Linked DNA regions of Xenopus tropicalis. Each later gene encodes a partner of the first gene's protein in a complex. Links are inferred from orthologs where the notes say so. Each region holds a gene or a part of one and is shown in the gene's direction. Other genes may lie near its edges.

The links.
Region 2: the proteins of mmp2 (region 1) and timp2 are in contact, whole or in part, in a crystal structure (PDB 1GXD), measured with the Homo sapiens proteins. The link is inferred for Xenopus tropicalis from reciprocal best matches to the Homo sapiens genes MMP2 and TIMP2. Residues at the interface, in NP_004521.1 of Homo sapiens: Trp574, Lys576, Asn577, Lys579, Tyr581, Phe588, Arg590, Lys595, Asp599, Phe602, Lys604, Ile606, Ala607, Asp608, Ala609, Trp610, Asn611, Ala612, Asp615, Tyr636, Leu638, Leu645, Lys646, Ser647, Val648, Lys649, Phe650, Gly651, Ser652; in NP_003246.1 of Homo sapiens: Ile162, Pro163, Cys164, Tyr165, Ile166, Pro169, Leu173, Met175, Val178, Thr179, Phe191, Arg196, Asp198, Ser200, Cys201, Ala202, Trp203, Tyr204, Arg205, Ala208, Lys211, Gln212, Glu213, Phe214, Leu215, Asp216, Glu218.

What each region holds. Positions count from the first base shown.
Region 1 is NC_030680.2:42,692,962-42,698,766, forward strand, and holds the start of mmp2 (72 kDa type IV collagenase precursor), read left to right. Parts: upstream 1-2,502; 5' UTR 2,503-2,529; coding exon 2,530-2,667; intron 2,668-5,805.
Region 2 is NC_030686.2:22,358,741-22,363,771, reverse strand, and holds part of timp2 (metalloproteinase inhibitor 2 precursor), read left to right. Parts: intron 1-3,559; coding exon 3,560-3,668; intron 3,669-3,751; coding exon 3,752-3,876; intron 3,877-5,031. UniProt on the Homo sapiens protein: Complexes with metalloproteinases (such as collagenases) and irreversibly inactivates them by binding to their catalytic zinc cofactor. Known to act on MMP-1, MMP-2, MMP-3, MMP-7, MMP-8, MMP-9, MMP-10, MMP-13, MMP-14, MMP-15, MMP-16 and MMP-19.

The sequences.
Region 1 (5,805 bases):
CTTTGGTAGAAATAATATAAACGCAAACTATCTACTGAATGGTAGTGTGTTGGGGGTTTCCTTAATGGAGAAGGATCTAGGGGTTTTTGTTGATAACAAGTTGTCTAATGCCAGGCAGTGTCATTCTGTGGCTACTAAAGCAAATAAAGTGCTGTCTTGTATAAAAAAGGGCATTGACTCAAGGGATGAGAACATAATTTTGCCCCTTTATAGGTCCCTGGTAAGGCCTCACCTTGAGTATGCAGTGCAGTTTTGGGCTCCAGTCCTTAAGAAGGATATTAATGAGCTGGAGAAAGTGCAAAGACGTGCAACTAAACTGGTTAAGGGGATGGAAGATTTAAGCTATGAGGTGAGACTGTCGAGGTTGGGGTTGTTTTCTCTGGAAAAGAGGCGCTTGCGAGGGGACATGATTACTCTGTACAAGTACATTAGAGGGGATTATAGGCAGTTGGGGGATGTTCTTTTTTCCCATAAAAACAATCAACGCACCAGAGGTCACCCCTTTAGTTAGAGGAAAGGAGCTTCCATTTGAAGCAGCGTAGGTGGTTTTTCACGGTGAGGGCAGTGAGGTTATGGAATGCCCTTCCTAGTGATGTGGTAATGGCAGATTCTGTTAATGCCTTTAAGAGGGGCCTGGATGAGTTCTTGATCAATCAGAATATCCAAGGCTATTGTGATACTAATATCTACAGTTAGTACTAGTGGTTGTATTTATAGTTTATGTATGTGAGTGTATAGATTGGTAGGTGTGGGTTGGGTGTGCTGGGTTTACTTGGATGGGTTGAACTTGATGGACACTGGTCTTTTTTCAACCCTATGTAACTATGTAACTATGAAGAAGGGAGGTTCCATTTAAATATTCGGAAAGGATTTTTTACAGTGAGAGCTGTGAAGTTCTGGAATTCCCTCCCCGAATCAGTCGTGCTGGCTGATACATTATATAACTTTAAGAAGGGGCTGGATGGATTCTTAGCAAGTGAGGGAATACAGGGTTATGGGAGATAGCTCTTAGTACTAGTTGATCCAGGGACTGGTCCGATTGCCATCTTGGAGTCAGGAAGGAATTTTTTCCCCTCTGCGGCAAATTAGAGAGGCTTCAGATGGGTTTTTTTTGCCTTCCTCTGGATCAACTAGTAGTTAGGCAGGTTATATATAGGCATTATGGTTGAACTTGATGGACGCATGTCTTTTTTTCAACCCAACTTACTATGTTACTATAACGTACTGTTGCCCTGCAATGGTAAAACTGGTGTGTTCGCGTCAGGAACACTACTATTGTTTATATAAATACGCTGCTGTGTAGCCATGGGGGCAGCCATTCAAGCTGGAAAAAAGGAGAAAAGGCACAGTTTACATAGCAGATAACAGATAAGACACCATTGTATTCTACAGGGTTTATCTGTTAGCTGCTATATAACCTGTGCCTTTTCTTCTTTTGAATGGCTGCCCCCATGGCTACACAGCAGGGTTTATATAAACTCTTGTAATGTTTCTGAGGCAAATACACAACTTGTACCAGTGCAGGGCAGAAGTACATTATAGTTTAATTTCTTTTAAATATATAAATTTTTTGGTGTTACTGTTCCTTTAATTGCAGAAGTGTTCCCACTGGTGTATCGCACACTTTGGTATTGATCTCATGTTGGTGATGGTTCATCCTTGTGCAAAGTTTTTGTCTTATTTGTCCAATATACATTCATCCTGTAGAGCACTTAGTACATATGATCATGTACAACACTTTGGAGGAAGCACAAGAATAGCAGTCTCAAATGGTGTCGAATTTTTGTGTATCGGTATGTATTTTGTATTGCAATTTGATCTTTGCACAGGATAGAGGTAGATCAGAGAATATTTCCTTTAGTCTGGTATCTGTATGGAGCATGGGTTGCAGGTCTCTGACTATTTTTCTCATAATGTTCAGCTGTGGGTTGTAGGTGAGTACAGGTAGGTTTTATTTATTATTTTTGCTACTGGCTAACACAGCACTACAGTTTTTGTTCCATGCCAGGACTTTTGTTGGCTTCTTACTACTTCCCATAATATACAATGTTCTTGTTTTTTTCTGTACAATCACTCACAAATATTTACATTACATATGTGAAAAACTGTGAATATAAAAATTAAAATTGAATAACGCTTCCATAGTGTGCCTGTTTTGTCCCTTAGAAATTAATTAATGAATAGATTCAAACACTGAAACCAGTTTATAGTTTTAGTGTCTTTGATTACAAGTACTGCTATTCTGAATCAACTCAGACTATCCACTTGTGAAGAAAGTGGAGGTGGGGCAGCAGTTCCCTTACAGGAATGTCAGATTTTGCCAGCAAGCTTTGAGTTAAACAGACTTGGCAGCAGCATCTGGCCTCTCCCCTTCTCATGTTTCCAGACTTCCTCTTGCGGTAGCAGCAGAATGTACATCTGGATAGCTCTCCATACAAAGAAACTGCAATACAGACAACTGGAATGAACAGTCCATTTATCTATTAGAACAGACCCATAAAGGTTTTCGGCAGATACTCAGGCTGCATCATGCGGACTATTAATGTTCATGTTTTAGTCTTCATTTTCAAAAGTCTCAGTACATTTTATTATGTTTCTTCTGCACCATCTCCTATTATAAAGTTTCCAGGAGACAAATCTCCAAAGTCAGACGTTGAATTTGCTGCGGTAAGTTGGCTCTTTCATTGTACAGTTGTAATATCCATGTACCAATGGATAATTCAGCTACTTTTTTGTTGTAAGGTAAAAAAATACTAAAAGAACAGAAAGTTTCTTTGTTGGATTGTTTGTTGAATGGAGTTTTACTGTGCTTTCAGCCTACATATCATTATAATTATAATACAGATAAGCATAGGGGTATGTTAGAGTCAAGGGACAGAGATCATTTGTATAAACTAGGGGGTTGTTTCATTAATTTTCAAGAGGACTGGGCTGAACAGAAAAAAACAAAAGTTTTTCTTTCTGACCTTTTTTTTTTACTGGGATGGGTTTTTGTCATTTTTTTAATCAAAATACAAGGATTACCATGTTTTAGGAAGTTTATAGTTAATAAATCAGTCCCCAAATGTTTTTTTGTTGCTGAGATACTTGGTTTACTGCAGGAAACAAAATCTGATCTTTTCTAATGTTTTGTTGCTCCTGTACTTCTTTAATGAAACATAGCCCAGCATAATATAACAACAGCATCATTCTTTATCCAAGCAAATCTTAGCGGACAATCTATTCTGCTCACACAGTGCACAAAACAAAACTTGTTATGGTGGATTCTTGGGTGGTTATTGATAATGGAACTCTGATTTAGCTTTTAATAGTGGTGTGGGATCAATTATGGAGAATGCAGGAGAACTAGAATTTTCTTTTTTATTATTTGGATCATCATACCTGAAATCTTCTAATCAACATTTAACCTTTAAATTAAACAAGTAGGATTGCTTGGTTACCAGCATGTACAAGGTACTAATTTAGTTACTTATTATTATTTGTGTAAAAGGATATAAGATTCCATATTTTTATTTTTTAGAAAAAGAGGATTCTTTTTAGTAATACATTTCTTTTAGTCAGTCATGTGACACAAGCAAAATCAGTAAGCACATGTGATATTACTTACCACTATTTTTATGGATATAGCTATTGTACGTATGGGATTGAATAAAAGATGATGTGATCCTAATATATAAAAAAAAGTAATATGATGGCAATTATAGGCAATTATAGGTCTATAAGTTGACACCTATGGTGGGCAAGCATTTTTTTAAATGCTTTAGTTAGTAGAGCTTCTCCAGCAGAATCTTGCATTGAAATCCATTTTTCAAAAACACAGATTTTTTTATATTTAATTTTGACATTTCACATGAGGCTAGCCATATTCCTCATTTCCGAGGGTGCTACAGCCATGTGACCTGTGCTCTGATAAACTTCAGTCACACTTTACTGCTGAGCTGAAAGTTAGAGTGAGATCATCCCCTCCCTTTCCCTCCAGCAGCCGATCAGCAGAACAATGGGAATGTAGCAAGATAGCAGCTCCCAGTATAGATCACAATAGCACTTAATAGTAAGAAATCCAAGTCCGGCTTGGGACTCCTTCAGTTACGTGGGAGAAGGAGAAACAATAGGTTATCTGAAAGCAGTTCTAATGTGTAGCACTGGCTCTTACGAAAAGCTCAGACTCAGGCACAATACACTGAAATTGTGTCTACACACCAATTTTACAACTAAAAAAATACATTTTTTGGTTCGAGAATAAAATTTTAAATGGTAGAGAGAATTATTTGCTATGTAAACAGTGTAATTTAGAAATAAGTACACCATAAAATCACGACAAAATCTCTTTAAAGGATCATATTCAAGATTATTTTCTGGGAATGACATTACAAATAGTAATATAAATGAATGTATGAGGGACAGATAATGTCAATCAAATGTAATTGCGTTTTATGATAAAGTAGAAAATAAAGCCTATTGGTCTTGGTACATAGTTGAAAACAGTCCGTCAGGTTTAACCCTTGCAAATGAACCCCATTGCATATTTATACACAGACATATAAAGACCTATCTATACACTATTATATATAATATATATATAAACAATATATACCATTACCTATACTAAACTAACTGTAAATCCTATGAACCTATTAGGCTTGGATATTATGTTTGTTCATCCAAGCCACTCTTAAATGGATTAATAGAATATGCCATCACAACATCACCCAGAAGATTATTCAACAACTGTATTGCCCCCACTGTGAAAAACTTCCGCTCAAATAAAATTTCAGCTCCTCAGGTTAAAAGGGGTGGCTTTGTTTTCCATGGGAAAAAAGATTCCCTGCTATCAGTCTATAATGTCCTCTAAAGTAAACTGCAACTCATTAATATTTATCTTACGTACTCAAAAAATGCACTGCATATTCAAGGTGCGTCCTGCTCTTTTTTATATAAGAGAGTACTTTATTTGCTTTAGTAGCCATTTATTGACTGTGGCTGGAGTTACACACTTTGTTATCCACAAAAATCCACAAATCCTTCTCAATTAAGGAGCTATAATTTAGTGTATAACTAGCATTTATGTTCATATTTCTGCCAATGTGTAGAACCTTGCATTTGACAATTGCTGCCCATTTCTCCAGTTGAGTCAAATCTCTCCACAAATTGGCAACAACCTCCATGAAAGTTATGGTTTTGCACAATTTAGTATCGTCAGCTATTACAATGCCAACCTCATGGTCATTTATAAAGAAATTAAAGCAAAGGGCCACAAATGACAGACAGTAGTGGTACTTTACTAATAACTCTAATCCAAATTGGAAAAGTACTAAAATAACTGTTAAAGGGGTGGTTCACCGTTAAGTTAACATTTAGTATCTTATAGAATGGCCAATTCTAAGCAATTTTTCAATAGGTCTTCCTTATTTTTTTATAGTTTTTAAATTATTTGCTTTCCTCTCCAGCTTTCAAATGGGGGTCACTGACCCCAGAAGCCAAAAATGGTTGCTCTGTAAGGCTACAATTTTACTGTTGTTTCTTTCTTTTTATTACTTTTTTTTTATTTAGATTTTCGCCTATTCATATTGCATTCTCTCATTATAACCACTCCCTGGTTGCTAAGGAATTTGTACCCTAGCAACCAGTTAGTTGCTGAAATTCTAAACTGGAGAGCTGCTAAACAAAAACTGGAATCATTAAAAAACTAAAAAAAAAAATTTCAAAATTGTCTCAGAATATTGGTCTTCCCATCATACTTAACTTAACTCCAAAGTGAACAAGCGAAAAAATACTACATTACCTGATTTACCTACTTTACACCTT
Region 2 (5,031 bases), on another chromosome or scaffold:
ATTTACTAAAACCCACCACAAATCTGGTACTGATACAGATTTAGTCCTTTGTATAAGGTACAGGTACAGTCTGAGGAAAAGAGGAATGTTCTTTTTTTAACACAAGCCTTCCTTATACCACTTCATTTTCCTGCATCTTTGTACAGAGGCCCTGTCTTAAGCTAAGTAGCACCTTGCGCAAAGCAACATACTGGGTAGTCCTTTGCATAAGCCTTTTTTTACTGCTCCCATTATTTAACGCATGCTTAAAGCTAGGTAAAGGGCCTTTCTGGGCCTTAGGACATCCTGAGGCAGCTCAGAAATTCAGCCCTGTAGCGGGTCATGGGGGGGGGGGGGGGGGGGGGGGCTGCTTCACTAATGCAGAAGGCACTAGAAAAGCCAAGATTTTGGTTAAATAACCAGAACTTCAACTCTTAAAGTTGGCAGAAGTAGCTTTTTGCCACCCCTGGTAAAAGGTTTTCCTCATGGTATCAGCGCCCCTGGCTGGGTATAATCTCTTACATTTGATACTTAAGGGCAGTGGCAGATAGGGAGATAAGTCGCCCCGCAACAAATCTTTGTTGTCGCGGGCAACTAATCTCCCTGCAATGCCATCCCACCGGCTAGAATGTAAATCGGCCGTGGGATGGCATACGTGCCGCTGCGATATCCTGTCTTGAGAGGAAACTTCGGGCGACTTCGGGACATTGCGGCGCCGCGTATGCCATCCCACCAGCTGTATACAGTATAGCCAGTGGGATGGCATTGCGGGGAGATTAATCCCGCGACTAATCTCCCCGTGTGTCACGGCCCTAAGAGACTGTTAGTAAAAATTATTGACTTAACTGTAATCTGTGTTTATGTAGGAGGATAACTGCCAGGGCATTTTCCCTTGTCTTAATGGCTACACAGATAAAATGTCCTAAAGACGAGCCATGTTTGTTAATAAACCCCAGTGTGATGGCTCAAAGGAGGGATCCCAGATACAAATGACCATAGAATGTAAAAGTCAGGTCTAGTAACTTTATGTTCAGGTTGTTTTGGCTCCAAAAATGATGGATTATATCTTAATTAGGATCAAGTACAAGGTACTGTCTTAATATTACAGAGAAAAATTATTTTATTAAAATGAAGTCTATGGTAGATTGCCTTTCTGTAAGTCTGAACTTTCTGGATAACAGGTTTCCGGATAATGGGTCCCATACTTGTACTTTATATATTTATCTGATGGTTGTGACATTAGTATTGTGTTTTTTTTACAATGTAACCACAAGGGGTCACTGTGAGACAGGCTATAATATGTTGGCAATTTTTAGTAGCTGGTAATGGGTCTGCCTTGAAACATTGCTATCCTGTAGTATGCTCTATGGCCAAGATGCTAATGATGGCTTTTTATCTCAGGAGTGCTTTCCATGTTGAAATTGCTCATTCTTGCTCAAGCTGTAAAACATAACTAACAACAGGACAGACATTTTTGTGATCTTCTTGGTGCATGAGGAATGTCTCTGGCCCTTGGTCAGGGAGAGATACCACTATAAATTCATAATAAATGCAAATTAACCTTTTAAACTCCTTTTTGTAGATTCACTGTCCCCCACTTGCGCGGAAGAAGGAACCATAAATAAAAGCTGAAGCTGCTGAGTACCGAGATTCTCAGACTCAAGCAAGAGGTCCATGTACTTCTAGTTGTGAAGGAGGCCACTGTCCAATGCTGTTTGTGTTACTGCAGAGCACACTCACAGCACCATCACCCATAAGTTACAGGGCTAACCTCCTTATGCGTCAAGTACCATGAAGTACAACTACAGAAATGTCACATTTGTATGACCGTGTATAGTTGGCTGGAGGAGGTAGGGAGAGTTCATTAATACAGAGGCTGTTGTTCCATGATCTGAAAATTCAGATAATATATATATATATATATATATATATATATATATATATATATATATTTTCCTTTCCATATCTGCTAGTTATTTTCAGGTACCAATCAACATTAGCAGAGGTACATTCTCTCAAAATACAGTAATCAATGTTTTTTAGCCTTATAAACCCTAAATATAAGAAAAATAATGTCTACTCCAAGCTGACAGGTTTCTATAAGTATTTATGTAGCTGTTACTTATATGTGGATGCAGTGTGTTATGCCTGAGTACTGTGCAGAGTAACTGTGTAATGTAAGTGTATTTATCTGTGTGAGTGTGAATGCAGAAATGTTCATATGACAGAATAATAAAGTTCAATAAAATGCAAGTTCTGGTTTGATTTTTTTAATGTGCCTTTTTTATTATTGTCAAAAAAAACCCAACAAATATATAAAAAAATATATATATATATATGTGGACCGGCCAAAGTTCCTGGGTCAGTGGGGCCATCCAGCCAGTATTTGACCGTCCCAGCTGATAAATCTCCAGCTCCTGCCTATTTTGACACTGTATGGAGAGCCTACCTCACTTGAGACACCAGACTAGTAAGACAGTGTGACTGGTACAAGGAAAGCAGAACCGGAGTCCAGGCCAAAGGGCATTATACAATGGTATTTGATAACCAGGCAGAGATCATTGGCAGGCTGCAAACTAGCAGAACCCATACAATGCAAGCAGCAATCCATGTAATCATGAACTAGGGCACTAGGGGCTATAAATTGCACCTTTTTGGGCTGAGCCCAACAATGGCGATGAACGTATGTACCGCCTATCTTACTGCATTCGCCCATGTGGATGGGGGGTGGAGGGAGTGGCTGCAGTTCCTGGCAGGGTCCAGACCGACCCTGAGTCCTGCTCCTGCCATGAGGCAAGGTGTGAAACACAGCAAGGAAGGTTCCCAGGACAGGGTGTGACTATATCATCCCAGTGCAAAATAGATAGGAAAGGCCCACACTCACTTGGCGTGTAACCAATTTTAATTAGCCACAAACATGACTTTTGCAGTGGAATACATATTTTGTGGGATACATCATTAGGAAGTGAAAACTACACATGGCAGTGTGGGACTTAACCAAAAGGCTACCCACGTTAGCTTTAAGAACCAAAAATGTTCGTCATACATGTACAAGGTTTCATACGATAATCAGTTCATATGTGTTGAGCAAATGATCTGGACAGATATCGCTCCATGGTTAAGTACAGGGCTCTGCTGCACCTTGGGCTGATGGCACACTCTAGCTGGCTTGCACCTTACAAGACAGGGGATGTCCTACCTGCTGCCCATCACCTATAAATACATCACTGTGTGCTTAGGAAGGCTGCCCCCAAGCTTGCATGTCATTTGGATTGTGGCTTTGGCTTTCCACCCACAGGGCAGGCTGCAAAGAAATAAAAACATGGCTGTGGTGACTGAGATTTCCCAGCAAAATATTGCTATAACTATAAAGACTGGGATGGGGATGGCTTAATGGGAGTTTTGTAAAAGTATTCAAAATATTGCAGTACAAGAAGAAATAGGTCTCATAATTGCTTTTGAATTTAATAGTAGTGTTGTTATGTTGCACAATATATCAGTTATTTATCTGAAAACCTCCCTGTATGTCTCATTTTTGTCCTTAAAATCTGATTATGATTTGCTCTGCCTATCCTTGCAGATGTTTAAGGGACCCGATAAGGATATAGAATTTATCTACACTGCTCCATCATCAGCAGTGTGCGGGGTGACACTGGAAATTGCTGGAAAGAAGGAATATCTGATTGCAGGTATGATAAGTTTGTATATCTGTTTGATAATGCCATCTTATCTCCTGCCTTGACCCTTCACTTTCCATTTACTGCCCCTTCAGGTAAAGCAGATGGTGATGGAAAGATGCACGTAACCCTCTGTGACTTTATTGTGCCATGGGATTCTCTTAGCCCAACTCAGAAAAAGAGTCTCAATCAGCGGTATGAAATGGGCTGCGAGTGTAAGGTGAGGATATGCATGGCTTCTTAACAGCATTGCTGTATTATGATGCTCAAGGTTCAGTAGGATGCAGTTTTATGAGAATGTCAATCCAAACATTGGCTTTTCTGATTTCTATGCTACGCCTGTTTAAACACAACAATTTATTAGAATGTGGCTCAAACATATATTTTACAGTGGCCACAGCATTTCCTGACAAATTTTGTTTCCAGCTGTTTATAACAGTGAAACCCAAGTATTTATTGCAAAGTGGCTTCAGAAATTTATAACACAATGACCACTGCAATTTCTATTTCATGGATCTAGCATTTCAATGCACTGTTGGTCCAGCAAATACGGCAGAGTGACTCCCTCTGCTCTGCCAGGCCTGATATTCAAAAATGAGGCCCTGGCATTTCAAGTACAAAGTGACCCTAAATAGTGACTGTCTATAGCATCTTACAGCAGCCCCTCTGGCATTTGCCAGAACCCACAGATTGCCAGTCCGGGCCTGCCCTCTGCATAGAAACCCAGAGTTATAGTTATAGAGAGATTCATCCCAAGAGCCTAAACCCTGATCCTGGAGTTTTCATTGTTGAATGTCAAATCCTTCCTTTGAGTGCTTTAATGCATACAAAATGTATGTGATTACAAATCTGATTTGCCACTCACACACTCTACTCTCCAGTCCTAGAGAGGGCACGTGCATTAAAAAAAATTCCCTAAAAAAGTTAGTAGTACGTGTGGCCAGTGTGCCCCTAGGCTGATCCAAGAATAGAAACTGGGTTACAGCGGCCACCTCACATGCAGCATCAGCCCTGGCATATTGATGGGAAAGGGATCACATTTTTTAAAAATGTGGTTAGCAAACAGTGACCTAATTCAGTACAAGGGCAGATTAATCAAAGGCTTCATACGGTCCCACTGTTCATTTATAAGGATATTCTGGGACAATCTGTCCTTTGTACAGCACTAGGGCCCTGTTTGGTGATGATCAACTTTTACTGGGAATTCTGTCCATCTCAGCCTCCTGCATGTAATATTTCCAGTATAGTAACAGATTTGCACAGTAATAACTCATCAGTCATCAGTGGCATAAATCTTACATGCAGTTCAATACATACATACATGTTGTAAGGCTCTGAAGCACACTGCAGAATTTATATACAAGACATTTTCAGC